4 linked regions of the Cricetulus griseus genome follow. The protein of the gene in region 3 purifies or fractionates together with the protein of the main gene of each other region. This does not show direct contact. Links are inferred from orthologs where the notes say so. Each region holds a gene or a part of one and is shown on either strand. Other genes may lie near its edges.

What was found. Proteins that work in one complex are often made in the same cells at the same time.
Region 1: the proteins of Prpf19 (region 3) and Snrnp200 purify together in Homo sapiens (affinity purification with mass spectrometry; 3 studies listed by BioGRID and IntAct, counting the BioPlex papers as one, with this or other methods). This does not show direct contact. The link is inferred for Cricetulus griseus from reciprocal best matches to the Homo sapiens genes PRPF19 and SNRNP200.
Region 2: the proteins of Prpf19 (region 3) and Cwc15 purify together in Homo sapiens (co-immunoprecipitation; 4 studies listed by BioGRID and IntAct, with this or other methods). This does not show direct contact. The link is inferred for Cricetulus griseus from reciprocal best matches to the Homo sapiens genes PRPF19 and CWC15.
Region 4: the proteins of Prpf19 (region 3) and Snrpd1 fractionate together in Homo sapiens (co-fractionation; 3 studies listed by BioGRID). This does not show direct contact. The link is inferred for Cricetulus griseus from reciprocal best matches to the Homo sapiens genes PRPF19 and SNRPD1.

Annotation. Positions count from the first base shown.
Region 1 is NC_048599.1:51,356,225-51,362,116, forward strand, and holds part of Snrnp200 (U5 small nuclear ribonucleoprotein 200 kDa helicase), read right to left. Parts: coding exon 5,847-5,892; intron 5,358-5,846; coding exon 5,220-5,357; intron 4,845-5,219; coding exon 4,689-4,844; intron 4,127-4,688; coding exon 3,956-4,126; intron 1,850-3,955; coding exon 1,656-1,849; intron 1,478-1,655; coding exon 1,354-1,477; intron 1-1,353. UniProt on the Homo sapiens protein: Catalyzes the ATP-dependent unwinding of U4/U6 RNA duplices, an essential step in the assembly of a catalytically active spliceosome. Plays a role in pre-mRNA splicing as a core component of precatalytic, catalytic and postcatalytic spliceosomal complexes.
Region 2 is NC_048597.1:127,981,208-127,987,099, reverse strand, and holds the end of Cwc15 (spliceosome-associated protein CWC15 homolog), read right to left. Parts: intron 3,658-5,892; coding exon 3,539-3,657; intron 960-3,538; coding exon 830-959; 3' UTR 777-829; downstream 1-776. UniProt on the Homo sapiens protein: Involved in pre-mRNA splicing as component of the spliceosome. Component of the PRP19-CDC5L complex that forms an integral part of the spliceosome and is required for activating pre-mRNA splicing.
Region 3 is NC_048596.1:49,555,867-49,562,405, forward strand, and holds the start of Prpf19 (pre-mRNA-processing factor 19), read right to left. Parts: upstream 3,648-6,539; 5' UTR 3,444-3,647; coding exon 3,425-3,443; intron 1,434-3,424; coding exon 1,284-1,433; intron 1,102-1,283; coding exon 1,025-1,101; intron 22-1,024; coding exon 1-21. UniProt on the Homo sapiens protein: Ubiquitin-protein ligase which is a core component of several complexes mainly involved pre-mRNA splicing and DNA repair. Required for pre-mRNA splicing as component of the spliceosome.
Region 4 is NC_048595.1:225,858,761-225,863,507, reverse strand, and holds part of Snrpd1 (small nuclear ribonucleoprotein Sm D1), read left to right. Parts: intron 1-1,897; coding exon 1,898-2,089; intron 2,090-4,747. UniProt on the Homo sapiens protein: Plays a role in pre-mRNA splicing as a core component of the spliceosomal U1, U2, U4 and U5 small nuclear ribonucleoproteins (snRNPs), the building blocks of the spliceosome.

The sequences.
Region 1 (5,892 bases), on a different chromosome or scaffold from region 3:
CCCTGCTTCTTATCAGAAAAAGAAACTCATAACCTCTTACTTCTTGCCACATTAAACATTGCCAACCTCTGTTCAACTTCCAAATAAAATGTGCTTTCATTAGATAGGGTTTCACTATGTATCCCTGGCCAAACTGAAACTATGCAAAGCACTCTGGTGTTGAACTCAAAGACCCAGTATTAAAGTCATGCACCATAGCTTGTTTGCTTTAATTATTTATTTATTTTGTGTGGGGGACATGCATGCACGCCACAGCACACCTGTAGAGGTCAGTGGAGTTACCTTCCGCCAGGTGGGTTCTGGGAATCAAACTCAAGTCACCAGTCTTAGGGGCAAGCACTGTCACCTGCAGAGCCATCTCACTGGCTTGCTTTCACTAGATTTTAATTTGCAGGTTTGTTTTTGCTATCTTATAGACAGATTTTTCTAGTTTCACCAACTTGGGAAGAGGAGATATTAATTATAAAACTATCATTAATGACTACAGTATTATTCAGATTGTATTTCATCTAGGATACATTAATAGTTCTTTTCAGGAAGTGATCCATTCCTTCTAAGTTACCCATTTACTTACTTATTAATCTTTATTTTATATGTATAAATACTATGTATGTATGTATGTATGTATGTATGTATGTGTGCCATGTATGTATCTGATGTCCACAGAGGCCAGAAGAGGGAGTCAGATCCCCTGGAACTGGAGTTTACAGACTGCTCTGAGCCTCCATGTGGGTGCTAAGAACTGAACCTGAGTCCTTTGCAAAAGCAGCCATTGCTCTTTATTCCATCTCCTATTTATGCAGTGACAGAAACTGAACCCAGGGTTCACACATGCTATGTCTATGCTCTACCACTGGGCTACACCCCCAGTTCCTAATCATTCCTTTGTTCTCTGGGTTGTTGGTGGAGGTGGTGGTGGTTTGTTTTTGTTTTGGATTGGGGGGGGAGGTGTCACTGTATAGCTCAAGCTATACAGTTGGCTTGAGGTCTTCCTGCCCCAGCCTCCTAGGTACTAGGTACTACAGGCATGTATCAACTCTCCTAACTCCTAACCACATTTTTAAGGCAAGAGTTTTTGTTTTTGTTTTCTTGGTTTTTCGAGACAGGCTTTTCTGTGTAAGAGTCCTGGCTGTCTTGGAACTCTCTCTGTAGACCAGGCCTCAAACTCACAAAGATCCAACTGCCTCTGCCTCCCAAGTGCTCGGATTAAAGGTATGTGCCACCACCACACAGCTTTAAGGCAAGTTTTGTAGTAATAATTAATGTCGTTTATGATCACTGGTGATTCTTGCTATTATCTTGTCAATTTTGCTTATGTCAAAAACAGAAAACGTTCAAGAACCATCAACAGACCTGATTTTTTCCAGCATGTTCCATGATTTTCTCATAGACTATTTCATTCATGATCTGGAAACGCTTGATAGCCTTCTTCTCTGTGATGCCCACATATGTCTGTTCCAGAGGCACTGGGCGGAAGCTAGAAGTTCAACAGTTATACAAATGAGATTTCCAGCAGAGAATACTGTGGGTAAAAAAGTAGCTTTCCACTGACCCAGAAGCAATAATGATTTTTAAATACACACAGGACCCCTAAAAGTCATTTAGTGTGTCCCTTAGAGAAGGGACAGGAAGTCTGCCTTAGTAACACGTTATACCTGTTGTCAAAGTAGAAGAGGCCCTTGGCAGGGTCAACACGCAGAAAGGTGGCCACATCTTCATAGTTGGGGAGGGTAGCACTGAGACCAATGAGTCGGACATCTTCTTGGGTCATCTCAATGTTTCGGATGGCCCTGGCCACCAAAGCTTCTAAGACAGGACCTCTGTCATCATGTAGAAGATGGATCTCATCCTAAAGGAAACCAAAGACAGCAAACCAGAAATATAGCCTCCTCCCCTGAGACAGTCTGCTGTAGAAGTATATAGCCTAAGACACCTAATGAAGACAAAAAAAGGAGCCTCAAGTCAGAGTCCTAAAGAACAAAGACAGCTTCAGTGTAGGCTTACGAGTGAGTCCTCCACTTTACCATAAATCTTACAAATATATGATGGTTCTGCCCAGGTTGTATCAAACAGGCCTTCACTTTGGGGCAGGTCTCTTCATCAAGAACAAAAACTACAAGGCTTCACTTACAATAAGGTCACACTGCCAACAGCAGTGCTTCTCAGACAGAGTAAGCACTGGAAGACCTAGAGATTTAAATGGAATTCAAAGGAGTGAACAGGCCAGGGATTTGGCACTCCTAAGAAGCAGCTGTATGGATTGCTATAGGAAAGACATGGAGGAGCAAGGCTCTAAAAGAAGGGTCAGCAAACTTTTCTTAAAGGGCTGGACATCCAGTACCAACCATGTAATACCGTAGGCTTGTGAACCATGTAACCCTTGTTACAAATACTCAATTCTGCCATAGCAACAATCAGGACAAGAGTAGCTGGAAATAGTACATAAACCAATCTACACTACTGTGTTCAATAAAACAAAAACTTGTAGCAACAGTTTGCCAACTCCCACTCTGAACACAGAACATGAACTACTTTCTTAGCCACTGTAAAGTATCAACCCTCAGAGGCCTGCGAAATAGCTCAGTGGGTAAAGGCACTTTACTGCCAACCCTGATGGCTCGAGCTTAACTCCCAGAACACACATGGTAGGACAGAACTGACTCTCATAAGTTGTACTCTGACCAACCTACACACGCAGGCACACAGGCACACACATGCACCTCCATACTATATACAACATCAGAAAATAAACAAATGCAATTAATTAAAAAAACAAAAATCAGGGGCTGGAGAGATGGTTCAGTGGGTAAGAGCACTGGCTGCTCTTCCAGAGGACCCAGATTCTATTCCCAGCATTCACATGGCAGCTCACACCTGTCTGTAACTCCAGTTCCAGGGATCTGGCATCCTTACATGAATGCACATTAAAAAAAGTTAAATAGGGCTGGAGAGATGGCTCAGGTTAAGAGCACTGGCTGCACTTCCAGGGGTCTTGAGTTCAATTCCCAGAAACCAGATGGTGGCTCACAACTATCTGTAATGAGATCTGGTGTCCTCTTTTGGCATGTAGCCATAAATGGAGGAAGAATGCTGTATATATAATAAATAAATAAATAAAATCTTTTTTTAAAAAAAAAGTTAAATAAAATATTAAAAAAAAAAAAACAAGAATCAACACTTGGCTCAAGGTCCATTTCCTGTGGATGCTTCCATATAACTGGAACACATGGCCCAATTCCTTACTTGTCCTGTCTGAAAATGCATTATTTACAAAGCATTTCAATGTTCTTGGGAGGACAAAATTATTTTTGTGTGTTTCCATTTGATTCAAAATATTTCAGATCTGGAGTGAGCTCCAGGGCAGTGAGGACTACATAGAGACCCTGTCTCAAAAAAACAAACAAAAATGGGGAGCGTGGCAAACATCATGCACTGACAGGGAGGGAAGGGAAGCCTCTGCGACATGCAGGTGCTGGGTTAAAGGGAAGGGCAGTATGTATGAAGGACAGTGCACACAGGAAACAGGTAGACACAGCAAATCCACCCATTAGAACACAGTCCAAAAATGGAGTCACTCGGGAGAAAACGCCAAGGAAACAAGAGTCTGGTGACCTCAGTTTCTTCAAAAACAGAGTTGTTCTTGGAATATGTTTTCGTACTCCTCCCAGGTATAGTGGGTAGTAGTGAGTTTACCTCAACTGTTATTATTCACAGGCCTCTATGAAAAACATGTTTTTACCATGTGTGGCTTACCCTTGTGACTCAATACCTTATTCCTATGATTCTTCTTAACCCTCGGAGTATAAATTGCCTGATGCTCTGAATAAAGTTGGCTACTGCGTGATACTTTAGCCTGCCTCTTTTTTGGGCCCTGCTCTCCCAGGTTCACCCCACTAACAACAAGAGCAGCAAAGGCCCCGACCATAACTTCTCCTCACGCTCGCGCCCGACTCACCAGGACGACGAGCCGCACCAGCTGGGTGTAGGTGCGCTCCCCGCCCTTGCGAGTGATGATGTCCCACTTCTCAGGGGTGCACACGATGATCTGGGTGGCACTGATCTCCTCCTTGCACAGCTGGTGATCGCCAGTCAGCTCAGCAACAGTGATGCCGTATGTGGCCAGGCGCTGGGGGAGGAAACGATGGATCATCAGCAAACCAAGTGACGGGGCTGGAAGTACGGATCAGCGGCAGGGAGCCTGCCTCATGTGTGCAGTCTGGAAGACGGCGCTCCAAGGGCCGCCAGCAGCTCCCGTGCCGGGGACTAGGAGAAGTTAAGTATCTGGAGAATCAGGAGGATGACCAAATACTATTTAAACAAGTTCAGTTCCACTCAGGTTGACGAGGCAAAGTGTCTCTAGGAGCCCCACATGGAGCAGGAAACTGGACACACTTAGGAGAGTGGAACTGGAGTAACAACTCACAAGCTATCAACCATATCCGTGGGCCAGACATGACTCCACAAGCACTCTGGAGATGCTCAAAGAAAAATGGAGTCCATGTAAGAGAGGCCAAGACATTTTTCCTTCAGAAATCACTTGGGTCACGTTCTACCTTGGAAATGGCAAAAAAAAAAAAAAAAAAAAAAAAATCCAGAGATTCCCTAAGGAAAGAAAGAGTGGCACATAGGCCCCTCCCCCACTTCATGGCCATCTGCAGCCAGTACCTTCTCGAGAAGATGTGACTCACCTTTCCAAAACTGCCCACCATCTCCTGCACCAGGGACCGCATAGGAGCTATGTAGATGATCTTGAAGTCATCCACATTGATAGTGCCATCCATGTTAATGTGTTTCCCTATCTCTCGAAGCATACACATCAGGGCCACATTGGTCTTCCCAGCACCCTAGAGGCAGGTCAGAGACAAAGTCTGTTCATGTCTGATGAACTATATGGCTACTGCCTTGACTTTAATGGGCTAACAACGAGAGAGAGAACTGACCACTGGATTGTCCTATGTCTTCCACAACAGAACAGAGAATAGCCAGGAATGGTATGCCGCCCCTTTAATCCCAGCAGTTGGAAGGCAGAGACAGAGGCAGGCAGATCTCTGTGAGTTTAAGGGCAGCCTGGCCTACATTGTGAGATTCGGGACAGCCAGGGCTACATAGTGAGACCCTGTCTCAAAATAACCATAAGAATAAAGCCTGATGTAAAAATTAAGATCCAACTAGCCACCAAAACATTCCAGGACAGAAAAAGCAGGCGGGGCAATGCTTACAGTAGGAGCACACAGCAGCAGATTCTCATCTGTCTCCAGGGCAGCACGGTAGAGTTTACTCTGGATCCGGTTCAGTGTTTTGAAACCCTCAAATCCTGCCTGGGCATACTTTGGCAGCTTCTCCACAGGAAGCAGTTGCTAGAGGAAGAAATGTTTTGCACTTTATGTTATAGCATCCTTTTGCAAACTGTTCATTCTTGTAAGATTTCTTATAAGATTACTATTTTCTTTTTTTAAGACTTATTTATTATGTCACAGGGTTCTGGCATGTAGATGGTTGTAAGCCATCATGTGGGTGCTGGGAATTGAACTCAGGACCTCTGGAAGAGCAGTCAGTGCTCTTAACCTGTGAGCCATCTCCGTAGATTACTATTCTTACAAGATAACCATGATATCATTTTGTGATTCCCCATAATTTCATTCCCTGGCAATCACTGTTCATAATTCTCAATCATAAACCTGTCCAGAGACAACAGTATTGCCTCCTTGTCTCACAATGGGAAAACTCTGGAACAGTTTCCACCTCTACAATAAATTATCCTTGAGACAAGGTAACATTTTAGTCAATGGCTAAAACCAAACTGGAAGAGAGGAGAAAGACAAAATTGAGAAAAGCAATTCACTCACTTCTTCTGAGCCAAAGGGCTTGGGCTTCAAAGCAGGCACATGCACC
Region 2 (5,892 bases), on a different chromosome or scaffold from region 3:
TGAAGTGAGCCTACACAGCAAAACATCTTAAAAAAATAAATAAATGCTTCCCATCTGGGAAACGTTCAGTTTGTGGTCCCAAATTTTCTATCAAAGTAGAACATTTAAAGCCACATTTCTTAGAAATTATGCTTTTTATGGCTGTATTTCTTCCTCTGGCTTTGCACAGAAATATCTTTCATGATAATATGCCATTAAAAGAATAGCTTTGTCAGTACTGATGAAAGTCAAGACAGCTTTGCATCTCAGTGTGTGGACATAGCTCCAAAGGACATAAATGAGTACCTGTACTCATTTATGTTCTGGGAACGGATGTCATAGGCCAAAAGAAAAGAACATTGTTTGCAGGACTGATATGGCAGGCATCTCCTGACCCACCCCAGAGGACTTATGGTGACATGTTCTCTGATGTGGAATCCCCCTTATCCTTTACCACACTTACAAAACACAGTGCTGTCATCTACTAATGGACCTCAAATCAGTGTGGGATAAAGGGAAAATTTAATGCATTAAAAACAACACATAAAGTACTTTTCATTTAAAAAAATAATCATGTAATTTTTTATAAGCTGCATAGATTATGGCAAAAAGTTGGGGACACTGGTTTACTTAGGTTAAAAATATTTATTCCAAGCAGATTCCCTTTCTCCATATTAAAAAGGAAGTAAGACTGGAAACTGGTCAGACTCACCTCTAAATCCATTATAGATAAAATACCACACTACGGGAAAGAGATTGAGAAAGTTCAAACAGGGAAAGAACAAACCCCCCAAAAGTCAAATTGATCCTTAACATTTTATTAGACTTTAATTAAGCACATAAAACTGTACTACTTAATATATTTCTCCATGAACTTTTTGTGAAATTCAGATCGAAGTGTATCATTTACAAATCTTTTGTCTTTCTTCTGATCATCTATACCCTTTGCACAGTTCTTAAAAACGACATCATCGTCCCACCTAAAGGGGAAGAAAAGAAAATAAATACCTTATAATTCTATCAGGAAACAAGAACACCACACAGGCTGTAAAGCTTCATCAACACAGACACAATCTGCCTCCTGACAAGAAAAGAACTGGTGTGCCTATGGTGGAAGTTGTCACAGCAGGAGGCACCCATACTCAGAGCACATACCACTCCCCTAGTGGAAGCAGCTCTGAGCTACAAAGCAGAAGCAGACACACATACTGCGCTCAGGTAAAGGTGTGATATTTTCAGGTCTAAAACCAAGAGGCAGGGCCATGGTCCTGATCCAACACCACTAGACAGTAAGTGATCCATTTCCTGATGCTTTGTAAAGTTTTGTACATACTTCTAATCAATTATATCCATCATGCTGGTCATACATCATAAAGCAACAAAAGACAGAACTACAGGAATGTAACAATGAAGATTCACAGATTGGCCCCAGTCTCCATTAATACTGAAGAAGTATCTGCTAAGGAGCTCAGAGTAGAACTCAGCTGGATTTCAGAGAGCATGAAACACACTCATGGAAAGGTGCCATGGAAAGTAAAGTGCATAACGTCAGAGCAGCACCTCCCATATAAAAACATAAACCCTTCCTCATGACAAACACAGACACAAACATACATAAAACACAGCTTACATTGTGCTTGTGTGTGTTGGTGTATATTTACCAGGAGAAATTGCACAAGGAAAATGAGCAAAGACTATGTGTACCTATGGGTACTGTGTCAGTAAATTTGCCTTGATGTTGCACACATGAGAAGCTCAGCAGCATGGTAAACTGGGATATTTACTCCTGCATCCACAAAGGGAAGAATAAACCAGACTGCTTCATATTCATTTATCGTGTTTTGTCTCTTAACTCATCCCAATGAGCTTTTGGTCCCTTGCTCCCTTCTCTTCGAACACACATCAGCATACAGTATTCCCAGACTGTCACTCATTCCTCTCACAACACTAATGGGAATGTCTTGGCTGCCCTCTTCTCTAGGTGCTTAGTCTTAGCCTAGGATTTTAAATCCAAATACTAGTTTTTAAGCACTTACTATGAACTTATACTACTCCAGTACTATGAACTTATACTGCACCCTACTCCAGGCACTGACACAACCCTCTGCCCATGCTGGTGACTCCCAGACGAATTATTACCAGCTTGAACCAACTGCAGAAACACACAGACTAGATACACTTAGAGATGTGTAGAGCACTCCAATCCTAGCATGCCTGGAACCTGTTTCCTCTTTCATGCTCAGTATAAGCCATACTCCTTCCCATGCCTGCCTTGCAACTGCTCAGGTAAAATGCTTGGAGTCTGGTCTCTAAACTGCTGGTGTCAGCAAACCTTCCCTTGACTGTACTGTTGTCTTCAAGAATGTGTGTTAAGTTTTTAGCTTTATGTCACCACAAGGACTGTTCTTTTACTGTGATCGAGTAAAGAAACGAACGAATTTAGAAAAAAGCAGCTATTATCGTGACTTTTAAAAGAAAGAACCATGGTGCTGGGATGAGAGAAGAGCTTGGAAGAAGATGGAGTTTTCTTTGTGTGTGAGCAGGAGCATGACCTTTGGGGTGAATGGGCAGGAGAGCAGCTGGGGCAGTGCTTCATTCCTGATGAGACAGCAGCGGTGGAGGTGAGCAGAAAGGAAAGGCAACGGGACTCCTCACCCCTGACACAGTACAGCCCCCCCCCCCCATCACACACACACAGTGGCTCCTGTGAGTGCTCACTCTACTTTCCTCTGCATCCTCATCTGTTGTCACATTATGCAGACTCTTTCCAGCTCTCTAGTGCCCTCCTCCTTCACATGCAGTACAGTGTTCACTCCCAGCCTGCCTCTTAGCTCGGCTAGCACTGGAGACCCGAGTCACCTCTCACCATCACTTGCCTATAGTACATAACTAACTTGACTTCCACGCAACAGAAGTTCCTGCAGGACGAGTCCCAATAACCTTGATCATCAAGTGTCAACTTCTAGTTTCACTGTTTAGTGACCTCTTACAGGAATAGGAGTGTAAGGAAGTCTATGTCTTTCCACCTTGTGACCTGAATGTATATCTATGAATACTCACAACTGTATGATCTGTGTGTATCTTACAATATCAAACATCAATATGGTCATGGCAAGTCCCCTGAATCCTTCTAGAACTGAACTGTGAGGGGTGGTCTTGAGGACCCTTCCACTCACATCCCACGTACAGGTTTTGTAGCTACCGTCATGTAGCTAGTGATCAGGTTTAGACCATGACTTGGCAGACACTTGGTTATTATGAGTATGCATTAAAATGAAGTCATCCTGCCTCTCTTCTTCTCCCATTATTCTAAAATCTGACTGAGGTTATATATAGGAGGTGGGGTCTTAGAAGCCTTATGTAACACATAATACAAATAATGTACCACACATATAGATCAACCCATTATTTTTTATCCCCTTGGTTAAGACAGGGTTTGTGTAGCCCTGGCTGTTCAGCCTAGTCTCAAACTCACAGAGATCCGCCTGCCTCTGCCTCCCAAGTGCTGGGATTAAAGGTGTGTGCCACCACCATCTGGTCAACCCATTACTTTTAGTACCTTCTTTTAACCTTGAAGTTGGCCTGAGGCTGGGATGGGCCAGTGAGATTGAGGAGGGGGTTTCCACTCAGAATATTTTCCATTCGAATTCTCTCTTCCTCTGCTTTTTGTTCTTGTTCCTGTCAATGGCAGAGGAAGACACAAAGTTACTAACTTCAAGTCAGTTGTCTTATATTGGTTCACAAATGAACATCTGTCAGATGGTAGTTTTCTTTCTCCTTTCCTTTCTCCTTTTTGAGACAGGTTCTCTTATAGCCCAGCTGGCATGGAACTTGCTAGGTAGCAGAGGATGACCTTGAACTTCTTACCCACTTCCTGAGTGCATGGTTGTGTACCACAGATGTACACAACAAGGCCCAGTTTTTCAGTGGTAGGGACCTAGGGCTTCGCACATGGCAGGAAAGCACTTTACCAACTTACTCATTCCTCTTTTTGATTCTTGACAAATACCAGAAAAATCTTTGTAAAAAGTAAATACATTGCTATTTTTATTACAAATATCTCATTCTTTCCAAAATAGTCAACAGTCTCTCAATTGTGAGAAGCTGAGATACAGATGTAAACGTTTTATTTAGTTACTTACAGGTTAAGTTTAGGAGCATTTTAATAAACATTTAAAATTTAAAAACATATTGTCAGACTTGTAGGTGAATGGTCAGACAGCCTCTGGATCAAATCTACACTTTCCCCCCAGGCTTGAGATTATATTTTTTGAGAACATGGCCACCCTATTAATATAGGCACTGTGGCCACTTCTGAGCTGTAATAGTAACAGAGCCACTACTTGTGTGTCTGGGTGATCAGCCACACAAGAATATTTACTGTCTGGTCCTTACAGGAAGTGTGCTGATCCCTAACAACAGGCTAATTAGCTTGAATATGCTGCTACTGTAAACACCTTCAAAAAGCAGCTAAGGAGACAGGAATAAAAAGAAGTGAAGGTGTCACTCAACTCTTAGAAATACCAACACATTAGATGAAACTCCAATAATTCTTAAGACCTTAAAAAAATGCCTACTTATTCCTTAATAATCAATCAGAAAACCACCAACAGTTAGGCATTTAACAGTTGCCCACTAGTGGCATGCCAATGACTCTTCTTGAAAATTAAAAAAAGATACAAAACATAAAACTATTTATTACAGGAGTGGCACTCTATGCCAAACTTTAATGAGAACCATTACTTGATGAGAACTGTTATGCTTTCTTCTATCCTGAGTTTGGACAGCTCTGAGTTCCATGTCCTCTTTTCTGAATTCTTCCTTGACCCTTCTGACTCACATGAACTCTTTCCCCCACGTGCTTGGTGTTGGTCCACATGAGTGCTTTTCCCTCAAGTCTTTTTCTCTTTTTAAAAAAACAAAACAATTACTGGCTGAAATAAAATCCCACACCAATATCCACACAAAAGCTGTGCTGATTTGGTTGAATATGGAGCAGAGGCCTCTAACTTGATGCTATCTGTGTTCAAGATAAAAATCACCTCTTTCTCTCAACAGACCCAGGCTTCTGTCTCCACAGAAACAACGCACCCAACAATGGAGATCATTTACCTACTTTCCTGACAGCTTTACCATTAACACCTCTCTCACTTGCAATTCTATTTTTCTTTTAATTTTTATTTTATCTGGTGTTTTGCCTGCAGGTTTGTCTATGCTCCACATTCATGCTTGGTGACTGAGGAGGCCAGAAAGAAGTGTCAGATTCCCTAAGACTGGAGTTTCAGATGTTACCACCACATAGGTGCTGGGAATCAAACTCGGGTCCTCTGCAGGAGCAGTCAGTGCTCTTAATCACTGAGCTATCTTTCTAGTTCTGATTTTCAACTCCCACCATGCAGATTATAGTTCATTTCATTGCATATGAGGAGTACTGAAACAGCCTCAGACTTTTTCCAATCTCTCTACTTTTGCCAGAAGATTGATTAATCCTGCTGAAATCCATGAACCCATCTAAGCAAAACCCCAATTTCCTTAGTATTGCTTTACAAACTCCAGCACCGTTGTACACACTCTACTTTCTTGAGGCAGTCTCGCTATGTAGCCCAGGATGCCCTCAACCTTGAAAACCTGCCTGCGCTCTCAGCACTGGGACCTAGCTTACTGATTCTTTGACTTGGATATTATTTTCTCCCATTGTATAGGTGAAGAGACTGTGGGTATTAAACAGTTAGGTAACTTGCTTGGATTGTATAAAACCTATTCAGTTTTTTGAGACACATGTCTCAAGTTAAGCAGGAGACAGGAAGAGAATCTTTGTAGACCATTGGTTCTCAACCTATGGGTTGCAACCCCTTTGGAGAGGCTGGGCAGTTGAATCACCCTTTCATAGGGGTTGCCTAAAACCATTGGAAA
Region 3 (6,539 bases):
AGCTGGAGAACTCGGCCAGCCCTGGAGAAGAGGACACCACCTCCTATTCTACACTGAAGCCAACCTGAACTACTCAGAGACCCAAGCTAACATATGAGTGACCCTGAATGCCCTGTAAGGCATTCAGGCTCCTACTCCACACCACACCCTGGACACATAGACAGAAGCAAGATCTGGCTCCTTCCAACCCCCAGCTTTGCTTTACTTCAGCAGTAAAGCACATATGTTAATGCCATCACTTCTCTGAAAGGAAATAATGCTGCTGTGGTTATTTACTAGCTACCCTCAGCAAGTGCAGTGCTCAGTAATGAAAGAGAGTCCCTGACGTCACAAGGCAAATTTGTCAATTTTATTCTACTTCTTACAGAGTACAGACAGACAGGACTAATCAATGTCCTATAGTCAGGAAGGTCAAGCCTCAGAGACTGAGCAGTGTGCCCCAAGTCACAAAGGCTGACAGTGGAGAAAACTTTGGAATCCAGGTCTGCAAGACTTCCAACAAGCAGGCTCCTCTTGTGCTGCCATCCTGCTCCTCACAAATGAAATATGGCTGGCAAGAAATGAGGGGGCTGCTCAGTGGTACAGCATTTACATTAGCCCTGTGTTCATCCCCCCAAAGAGTCAGGCCTGGTGGGCACTTGTAATCCTAGGCACTAGGAGGCTGAGGAGGAAGCATCATGAGTTTCCAGACCTGTCTAGACCACAAAGCAAGGCCCTATCTCAAGAAAATAAGAGAGCCTGGAGAGACAGACAGTCCAGGAGTTAAGAGCACTTGCTGTTCTTCCAGAGGACCCGGGTTCAATTCCCAGAACCCACATGGGGGCTCACAACGGTCTGTAACCACAATTCCAAGGGATCACACACCCTCCCCCTGCCTCCCAAGCACCAGGCACATAAGTGACACACAGACATACATGTAAGCAAAAGACCCATACACATAAAATAAAAAATTAAAAAGAAAAGGAGGGCAGTCCCACCTTTTTAATCCCCAGGCCCAGAGGTGCATACTCTTCAAAGAACTCACCCACTCATCCTGCAAGGCTTTCAGAATGGCTGGGATGCTGGTGGCAGAGGGAGGCTTGGGCCGAATTGGGTGAGCAACTGCCAAGAGAGGCAGCAAAGCAGGTATGAAGAACCAGAACCCCGGGGGCTCACCCCTCCCCCACCCCTCCTTTCTTTATTCATTCACAGCCACCATCTTCTCCACCAGACTGGCTCCTCCTCCCACTCTTGAAGGCTGAGTTGAGCTGGCCCTGGACTTAGGCTATCGGTCGGGCGGGCACCTTTGATGTCGATGAGCTGCTCCTCTGAGAGAGGCTGGTTGTTGATAGGATCTGTGCCATTCTCTGCAATGTACTTCTCAATGAGCCGCCGCTCGTACACATGATTAGAGACAGGGGACACACATGGGTGCTCTGGCACTTCGTTGGAGACTATAGAGAAAGGCAGGTAGTGAACACAGGGTAAAAGGAGGCCTGGGCTAGATTGTATCGGCCCCCACAAGACCCTGTCCTCATACTCAGCTATCAGAAAGCAAGGTCTGTGACAGCAAGCCAGCTGGTACTTGGCCCTAGAATACTTGCCAACTACTTAACTAGGTTCTCTAGTCTGCTGATAATAAAAGCCAGTAAATAATAACTATATGTCAGTCCCATAAAGAGTGGTCAGTATGCCCTGCCATCTCATTTTTGAACAAATATGACTGACTAGGCATATGACAAATAAGTACACACAACTCAAACCCCTGCCATTCGTCTGGAGCCCTAGATGGAACAGGCAGAAAAATTTCTAAGCAATGTGACAAGCACTGATAAATTAAAAAATAAATAAATAAAAAACCTTTCTATAGTGTCTGCTACTGTGTGCCAAGCAAGATTCTATTCTAGGCACTTGACAGAATAGTCTGTGTACCCTTGAAGATGGGCACCACAGCTGTCACTGACCTCCAGGACAATGCAGATACTAAGCAGACACTTGATAAACATCAGAACATGGTACATCCTGGGGCTCAATAAAAAATATCCCAAAGTATGGAGCCTGGTAATGCTGAACTACCAAAAAGGAAGAACTCAAAAGCAAGCTCAGAATCAAGGTCTCTCTGACCTTCTCAGGCCCTCTTGTTTCTCTAACGTCCCCTAAACAGGGACAATTGGTTCACCTCAGCAGACGAGTGAAAGCAACCTCCACACTCAAGACTCTTCTGAGAGAGATTATTTATTGCCCGAGAGACTTATCACGTAACAGAACAGCTCTTATTCACCACATAATTCTGTTTGCCTTCCCACCTGAGGCCTCAAGCTCCTATTCTCTTCTGTGGCACATGGGTCTGTACAAGCTTCCCTTAGAATCACCTATTTTTGCAGGATTCCCATGCATAAGTAATGAAGTATGGGAGGAAACATGGCTTTCCTGTGCTATTCTGTTGGCTTATCTCACTCACATACTCAACCACTGAACACTTGAGTGAGCTTTCCCTCCCCTACAAAAAGGAAGGATGGCCCAGGGCATGTAAGCGTGCTCTCTCAAGATTAAAAGGAAACAAATCGTTCGAAAATACTTTGCAAACTGAAATTTCTTATGTGTGATGTGAATTCCCTTTTCTGTTTGTCATTTCCCTCCTTCCTTTCCCTCTTTGAATTAATGGCAACGTTCTGAGAAGAGAATGGAGAGGGAGGGGAAGCTAGTGATGTGGTAAACAAGAAGGTAAACACCCGCAATGCCGTTAACAAAACACCCAATGACAAGACAGCATACAGTATGGAAAAAGCATGGATCCGGGCTCAAAGAACCGAGCTCCACCGCCCAGCTGTGCCGCACACCCCTGGATAAACCTCATGCTTCCTAAGATTTCTGACGCCCTCTCTAAATCACGGATCTTTATTTCCATTCAGACAATTTTTTTTTGTAAGCATAAAATGGGATCATCGTTTGGAAGTGCGTCGTACATCAATACAGGTCTCCTAAATGGTCGCTGTTTTCATTAGTCATACTGCGCGAGGCTAGAAGCCAGACACCTGGCTTCCAGCCTTGCCTCCAAGTCACTGCGTGATCCCTGCAAATCGCAGACACATCGATGCCTAAGCGACGTTCCCGAGCAATACCCACTGCAACGCTTTCAATGGATGCTGCTGCAGATGGGGAAACTGAGGCCCTGGACCGCTGCTGACCAGGTCACAATCGGAGGCGGATGCTGGACACGTCCTCGGTTTTCCCACACCAGGAGCTGTTTTTCCCTGCACCAACTCCCCCTTCCCACCCCCCCACCCCGTTCAGGCCCGTCTCCGCTCAGTGTAACAACCACAGTCATTCTTCCCAGCTACGTGAATTGCGCGGCACTGCGCAAATGCACCCCGCACGCAGGGCCGCGGGCTCCGGGGCCCCGGCCGCAGCCACGCTCCCGCCTCCCGCCGCAGCCAGCACTCACTCGAGCAGATCAGGGACATGGCGCCGTCGCAGCGCTGCCAGTCGCCTCACAGCGGGCTCCCGGACTAGCTCTGCAGCCTCCGCGGGCCACTTCCGGTCCCCCGCCGCTTCCGGGGCGCTCGGACGCGGGTTAGACAGCTGCCCGGCTTGGCGATGCTCGGACAACTGCTTCACGTGGGGAGGTGGCCGGTGGCGCGCCTCAGCCTTCAGCAGCTAACGGAAACTGCCCTTTCCCAGCATGCAATCGAGCAGGAAAAGGCCCGCCTCGGAACACTCGGCTGTTTCCGCATTGGCTCGGCTCCTTCCGGCGAGCTCACCCAGAGGCCGGAGGCGGGAAGGTCAGTCGAAACTACATTTCCCATGAGGCTGTGGGAACCATAAACCCAGGAATTTGGCCAAGGCTGCTTTTGACGTGGTGCTGCTGTCACCCAGGGCACAGCAGTATATGAGACGGTCGTGTGCAGGACAATTACCTCAGGAGCTTATAAAAATACATATTTCTAGGGTCTGCCTTAGAGAATCTGTGGGCGTGATTCTGAAGCCTGTGTTCCTTGGCCTCTTTTTGAGAAACAATGCCAGGTGACCCTGTGAATAAAGCACAAATGAGTAAAGAAATTAACGCTGCCCAGGTTCTGTCTCTACTCTTATTCTGTGAATTTAGACAAGTCACTGGCTTCGTCGTCTACCACGTCTTAAACACAGTCTCTTTTCTAGACTGGAAGGAATTTAATTCCCAACGTCTTGTGTAGATATTAAAAGAATGGAAATTTTCTGGGCATGCTCATGTATGCCTTTTATCACAGCACTCAGCTGCAGAGGTAAGTGGATCTCTGTGAGTTCAAGGCCAGCCTGGTCTACATAGTAAGTTCCAGGACAGTCTGGGCTATGTAGAAAGACATAGAAACATGTCTCTAAATAAGTAATAAGAATGGAAAGTTAGAGCTGGTCATTGGTGGTGTACACCTTTAATCCCAGCACTCGGGAAGCAGAGGCAGGAGGATCTCTGTGAGTTCGAGGCCAGCCTGGTCTCCAGAGCGAGTGCCAGGATAGGCTCCAAAGCTACACGGAGAAACCCTGTCTCGAAAAAGAAAAAAAAATTGTTTGTGTGTGTGTGTGTGTGTGTGTGTGTGTGTGTGTGTGTGTGTGTGTGTCACAGCACATGTGTGGAGATCAAAGGAGAAATGGTTTACTCCTTCTATCATGTTGATCCTGGGATTGAAGTCAGGTTGTCAGACTTGGCAATAAGTTCCTCTCCCCAGTGAGCTATCTCACCAGCCCAAAGGGTGGTGACATTTTTGATGAGACCTAAATGAAGGACAGGTGTCAGTCCTGAGACCACAGGTTTCTAATGAGCCAACCTCTTCTACAGCCTTACCTCATCTTCTCAGCCATATTCGCCCTTCAATGCCCCCAGAATACTGGCATGTGGAGGCTCAAAATGTTTATGTGGACAGCTTTCATCAATTCCTTTCGCCTCCCTGGCCAAACCCTCCAGTGCAAACCTCAGCCTCATCTTAAGTATAGCCTCTTCTGCAGCCCCTTTCTTGACCTCTCACTGGTTTTTGGAATTCTCCAAAACACTTTTAGTAACTATTGTTTTAATTATTTATTTAGAAAGTCCTTTTAGCACCTGGGTCCTCTACTAGATTGTACTACTCTCTCTACTAGTTCTCAAGAGTCTAAGAGTGTCGCTCAGTGCCTGACACTTAGCAGAGACATTGCCAGTATTGTTTACTGAATGGCAGGCTGCCTGACAGGCCAGGCATCTCAAGTATTTAGATATAGAGAGGAAATAAATCAGTCTAAGTGGGGCTCCTGAACCCAAGGTGATTAGACTAGATTGGTCTGGCAACAAAGTAGCATTTCACTGCATTTTGAGCTATGAAGTGATAACCATACTTTCAGAAGTTTCCTCTGGAAGATACATACAAAATAGTTTGGAACAGGATAGTTTTGTGTAGTATCTGTTTCCTGTGAATTGAAACATTTCCTCAAGAGGGAGAAAGGAGTCCCCTAAGACTCAAGTGACAGTTACCAGGCTCAATAACTTCTGAATGTTGTTAAGATTCACAAAGCAGAGAGATGGCTCAGCGGTTAAGAGCACTGTTCTTCCAGAGATCCTGAGTTCAATTCCCAGCAACCACATGGTGGCTCACAACCACCTTGAATGAGATTTGGTACCCTCTGCTGGTGTGCAGGCTAAAGACTGTATACTAAATAAATAAAATCTTAAAAAAAAAAAAAGATTCTCAAAGCCCTCCCTAGTGTTATAAAGCAGCAAGTGATTTGGGGAGAGGAAAAACTTTTAGTGGAACTGCTTGCAAGTTGGCCAGGGAGCCCCAGAAAAGCAGTTCTTGTGAATCCTCCTTCATGCTGGGGTGGGCTTTTTAGGCATGCAGTTGACTTTGAGTCACCCGTAGGCCTTTAAGTGACACCTATAAACTTAACTGCTTCACCAAGCTAGGCTTGGGTGGAGTTGCTTCTTTGCCATCTCCCCAGGAAAAGCCACATACACACAAATGGAATAAAAAAAGAGAGACCTGGTATGATGGAAACATGCTCTCTCTCAATACAGCAGTGTTGAGAGAGAGGGCCTTTGGGAAGTGACTGGGTGTCGAGGGCTCTGACCTCATATACTATGGGATTAACAGGTTAGTGGATTATGAAAGCAGTGGCTTTGTTATAAAAACTTGTTTTATAGAGCTGGGGTCAGAGCTCAGTAGCAGAGTGCCTGCTTAGTTAGTGCAAGATCCTGGGTTAGATCTCTAGCACCACAAAGATAAAATAGGGCCAGCCAGATGGTTCAGCAGGAAAATACGTCTGCTGTTCAAGCCGGGATGACCCAAGTCCAATTCCCACATAAAAGGGAGGGGGGAACTAACTCACACACCTGTCTGGAATACTTGCTTGGAGTTACCACGTGATTCTGTCTGTTATGTTATATGTTGTGGCACTCTTCAGGTATTGGAGCCTTGTTCTTGGTGTAAGGATTCAGGCACGTTGCTGGCCTGTCACCTGGCAGAATACACTCAGGGAGTACCGTGGTCAGCCAGTGTTCCATGGCTGCTACATCACTACTTGGTCTGTACACAGGTGCAAAGGACCCTTTAAAAACA
Region 4 (4,747 bases), on a different chromosome or scaffold from region 3:
TGACCTGGTTGGTAAAGTACTTACTGTTCAAGCTTGAGAACCTGAGTTCAGATCCCAGCTTCCAAAAAAGTTGAATACTACATGTTCCTGCTCTATGAGAGACTCTTGTCTCAAAACACAAGGTGGAGAGTGCCAGCTCAGCCATGTGCATAAAGGTGTCTGCTGCCACGCCTGACAACTTGAGTTTGTTCCTCAGGGTCCTTGTAGAGGGAGGAGAGAGAGAACTTAACTCCTGTGAGTTGTCCATGCATCACAGCACATAGGCACCTACCTTCCCTCCTATCCATACTTATATAAATAAATTAAAAGAAAAGCGGAAAACGATTGAACAAGACACACACACACACACACTCATGTACGCACTCATATTAATACACACAGAATCTTTAGTTTTGTTTGTTGGATTTTATTTCCAAACAGGGTTTCTCTGTATAGCCCTAGCTGTCTTGGAACTAGCTCTGTAGACCAGGCTGGCCTTGAACTCATAGAGATCCACCTGCCTCTGCCTCTCGAGTGCTGGGGTTACAGGTGTGCGCTGCCACCACCTGCCTTTTTTCTTTTCTTTCTTTTTTTTATGATGATGATAATGATGATTTTATTATTTTTATTTTATGTTCATTGGTGTTTTACCTGCATATACATCTGTTTGTGTGAGGTGGTCAAAGGCTCTGGAACTGGAGCTGCCATAGTTGTGAGCTGCCATGTGGGGCTGGCAATTGGACCTGGGTCCTCTAGAAGAGCAGCCAGTGCTCTTAACTACTGAGCCATCTCTTCAGCCCCCAAGGTTTTACTTTTAATTATGTATGTATGCATTAGAGTGCAGGTGCCTTTGAAGTTCAGAAGCACTGGCTCCCTCTGGAGCTGCAGTGCAGGCAGTTTTTACATATGAGCCTCCTGATGTGGGTGCTGGGAACCAGATTTGATCCTCTGCAGGAGCTCTGCACACTGAACTATTGAGCCATCTCTCTGAATCCTAAAAATATACTTTTTAAAAATAAATAGACATGTTAAGCTGGGTGTGGTATTTGCCTTAGACCAAGCACTTGGGTGGGGGACTTGGGCAGGAGAATCACAAGTCTGAGGTCAGCCTATGGTGCATTGCATAGATACACTTTGTCTCAGGAAGGTGGGTGGAGTTCCTAGTGATAGGAAAAAATATCATAGGTTTTTAAAAAGAAAGGTGGACATGGCTTGATGAATTTCCTGAGTCTTTCAGATGGATTCTTTCTCTGTAGTCCAGGCTCTTCTTGAACTCTTGGTGTTCCTCTTGCCCTACCCAGCCTCTTGAATGCTGAGCTAACCGGTGTGACTTAACCACACCACCAGTGCATTCAATTCTGTACATGTACTCAGCACTCAGTATTCAGGCTGGGAAAAAATCTTTTATGAAAGAAAAATTGCTGATTTGTATTGACACCCCCCAGTTGTACATGTATTAAGTTGTCTCAGAAACTTGCACCAGATAATACTTTTTTTTTTTTAAAGATTTATTATTATCTTTACAGTGTTCTATCTGCATGTATAGAGTGCACACCAAATAGGGCACCAGACCTTATAGGTGGCTGTTAGCCATTATGTGGGTGCTGGGAATTGAACTCAGGACCGTAAGTCAGTGCTCTTAACCTCTGAGCCACCTCTTGAGCCCCCGGATAATACTCTATAGTATGATTTCAACTGCTATTTTTTTGTTTATTTTTTTTGTTTTTCGAGACAGGGTTTCTTTAGCTTTGGGGTCTGTCCTGGATCTTGCTCTGCAGACCAGGCTGGCCTCGAGCTCACAGAGATTTGTCTGTCTCTGCCTCTTGAGTGCTGGGATTAAAGGTGCTTGCCACTAATGCCTGGCCTTCAGCTGCCTTCTTTATCGTGTTGGTAATTGTTGTGCTTTCTTTCCCTTTAGGTGTAGATGTCAGCATGAATACACATCTTAAAGCTGTGAAAATGACCCTGAAGAACAGAGAACCTGTACAGTTGGAAACATTGAGTATCCGAGGAAATAACATCCGATATTTTATTCTACCAGACAGCTTACCTCTGGATACATTACTTGTGGATGTTGAGCCTAAGGTGAAATCTAAGAAAAGGGAAGCTGGTAAGTGAAGATGTTTTGTATATAGTGTGTTGAAATCTTAATTCAATGGTGGTTCAGAATACATCTGTGAACATTGAGGGCATAGTATTGCTTGCAGCATCTTATATTCAGATGAGTGCATGTGATACCTAGAGTTCCTGGAGTTGCTGTGAGAAGAGCTGTGCCTTTTCTGCTGTCCTTTCCTCAATGGGTTCTAGATTTGGAGGCTGCCTGTAGCTTCCCTTTCTCTTGTGTGAAAATTTATTGTGAATTGTCTTGCCCATGCAGCTTAGAAGACATTAAGTTTGGTGATTTCTTCCCTTTGTTCTTCTTGGGATTCATGAGAACTGAGCCTTTTAGCTGATTCTTTTCTCATCTTGTCTCTGCCTTTTTGTTCTAGCTTCTGGGAGATAGCTGTGACCTTGCTCTCTGTCAGCACATACTTTATTCTCAAGCCTCCTTTGAGTTTTCCAAAGATCCTGTTATTCTGTTGCTGTCTGTCTTAGGGTCTCCATTGCTGTGAAGAGATACTACTGCAGCTGTCATAAAGGAAACACATTTAATTGGGATGGCTTACATTTTCCAAGCTTTAGTCCATTATCATGGTGGGACATGGCAGTGTGTAAGCAGAAGTGGTGCTGGCTACATCTTGATCAAAAGGCAACATGTAGTAAACTGCCTCATTGGGCATGGCTTGAGCATATGTGAGACCTCCACAGTAACACACTTTTCTAATAAGACCACACTCCAGCCAGGCCACGCCTCCTAAAAGTGCCTCTTCCTTTGGGGGCCATTTTCTTTCAGACTACCACACTCACAGTTGTTATTGTTGATAGACTAGTAATTGTAGTTTTCTCTTTGGGGGGCACACATGAGGGAGAGAAGTGTGGAGACAGGGTTTCTCAGTAGAGTTGCTGTCCTAGAACTCACTCTGTAAACCAGGCTGGCCTCAAACTCAGAAATCCGTCTGTCTCTGCCTCCTGAGTGCTGGAATTAAAGGTGTGTGCTACCACTGCCTGGCCCTATATGTTTATTTTTAAAGATACTTAGAAAGGACATTCTGGGGCTGGGCGGTATTTGTCCAGTCTAGCCTTGAGTTTGTGACGCTCCTGCTCAGTCCCCCTAAGTAACTGGGCTTTTAGGCTTGTTCCACCAGTTCCAGCTTCTATAGGGTTCCAAAGTAAGTTGGTCTCTTCACTAGGCAAATTCAAAGTTTCAAGATCTAGAAGTCTATCCTAGAGCTGTTTTTCTCATTGAGAGGTTTCAGTTCCCTGCTGTATTAGCTACTTCTCTTGTTTCTGTGAGAAAATACCTTACAAGAAGCAGCTTCAAGAAAGAAAGGTTTAGTCTTTCTTGTGTGGGTTGAATGAACCTTTCATAGGAATCACCTAATACCATTGGGAAACACAAATACTCATTATGATTCAAAACAGCAGCAAAATCACAGTTATGAAATAGCAATGAAATAATTTTATTGTTGGGGGTCACCACAACATGAGGAACTGTATTGAAGGGTTGCAGCATTAGGAGGATTCATAGTTCAAGGTGTTACATTTCATTACCTGGAGAATGCAGAGCAACTCCAGGAGCAACCCTTGTCCTGTCACATTGTGTCAGGAAGCAAAAAGTGAACAGGACGTTTGGCCAGGCAATAAAACCTCAAGGCAAACAGTACCACCAGGTGGAGACCAAGTGATAGATACAAAATGTGAGTCTATGGAGGGCTTTTCACATTGAAACCACAGTATCTGCTTGGGGAGATGTGGCTGTCAGCCAGCAGTGTAAGAATAGGGCAGGAGCCGGGCGGTGGTGGCACTCGCATTTAATCCCAGCACTCAGGAGGCAGAGGCAGGAGGATCTCTGTGAGTTCGAGACTTGCCTGGTCTACAGGAGCTAGCTGCAGGACAGCCTCCAAAGCCACAGAGAAACCCTGTCTTAAAAAACCCAAAGAATTGGGCAGGAGAAAAGGGCCATTGTTTCATAGATGTTTAATATGTTGACCTTGAGATTTTGTTGCCTTCCACCCAGGAATGCACTTTGTGTTGTAGCCTGCTGGAATTAGTTATAATAATACAAATGCTCTTGGATTTATTAGTTTTTATTTAAAAATTAATGCATAGATTAAAAAACAATTTACCTTTCCCTCGCCTCAAGCCTTTCTGTGTCAGTGTCTTTTGTTTCCTTCTACTGTTTCTTTCCTAACTACTTGCTTTGCAGGATGAGGAGGCAGACTGTCAGTCTAATTGATGTCCATAAACAATGTCAACAGTTTTTTGATATGATTTGTTTTAGCGTCCTGCCTTGTCATCATCTCACTCTTTGTGGCTTTGGAGGCGGTCCTGGAACTAGCTCTTTTTGTGAAACTTCAGTCTTTTTTTTAAAGTTTTATTTATCATTTATACTGTATTCTGCATGCATGTATGCCTGCAGGCCAGAAGAGGGCACCAGATCTCATTATAGTTGGTTGTGAGCCACCATATGGTTGCTGGGAATTGAACTCAGGACCTCCAGTAGATCAGCCAGTACTCTTAACCTCCGACCCATCTCTCCAGTCCGGAACTAGCTCTTAAAGAGGTCTGCCTGCCTCTGCTTCCCGGGTGCTGGGATTAAAGGCATTTGCCACCACTGCCCGATGCTAAAAGTCCTAGTTTCTTTAGAAGCTATTTGTCTGTTACTAAA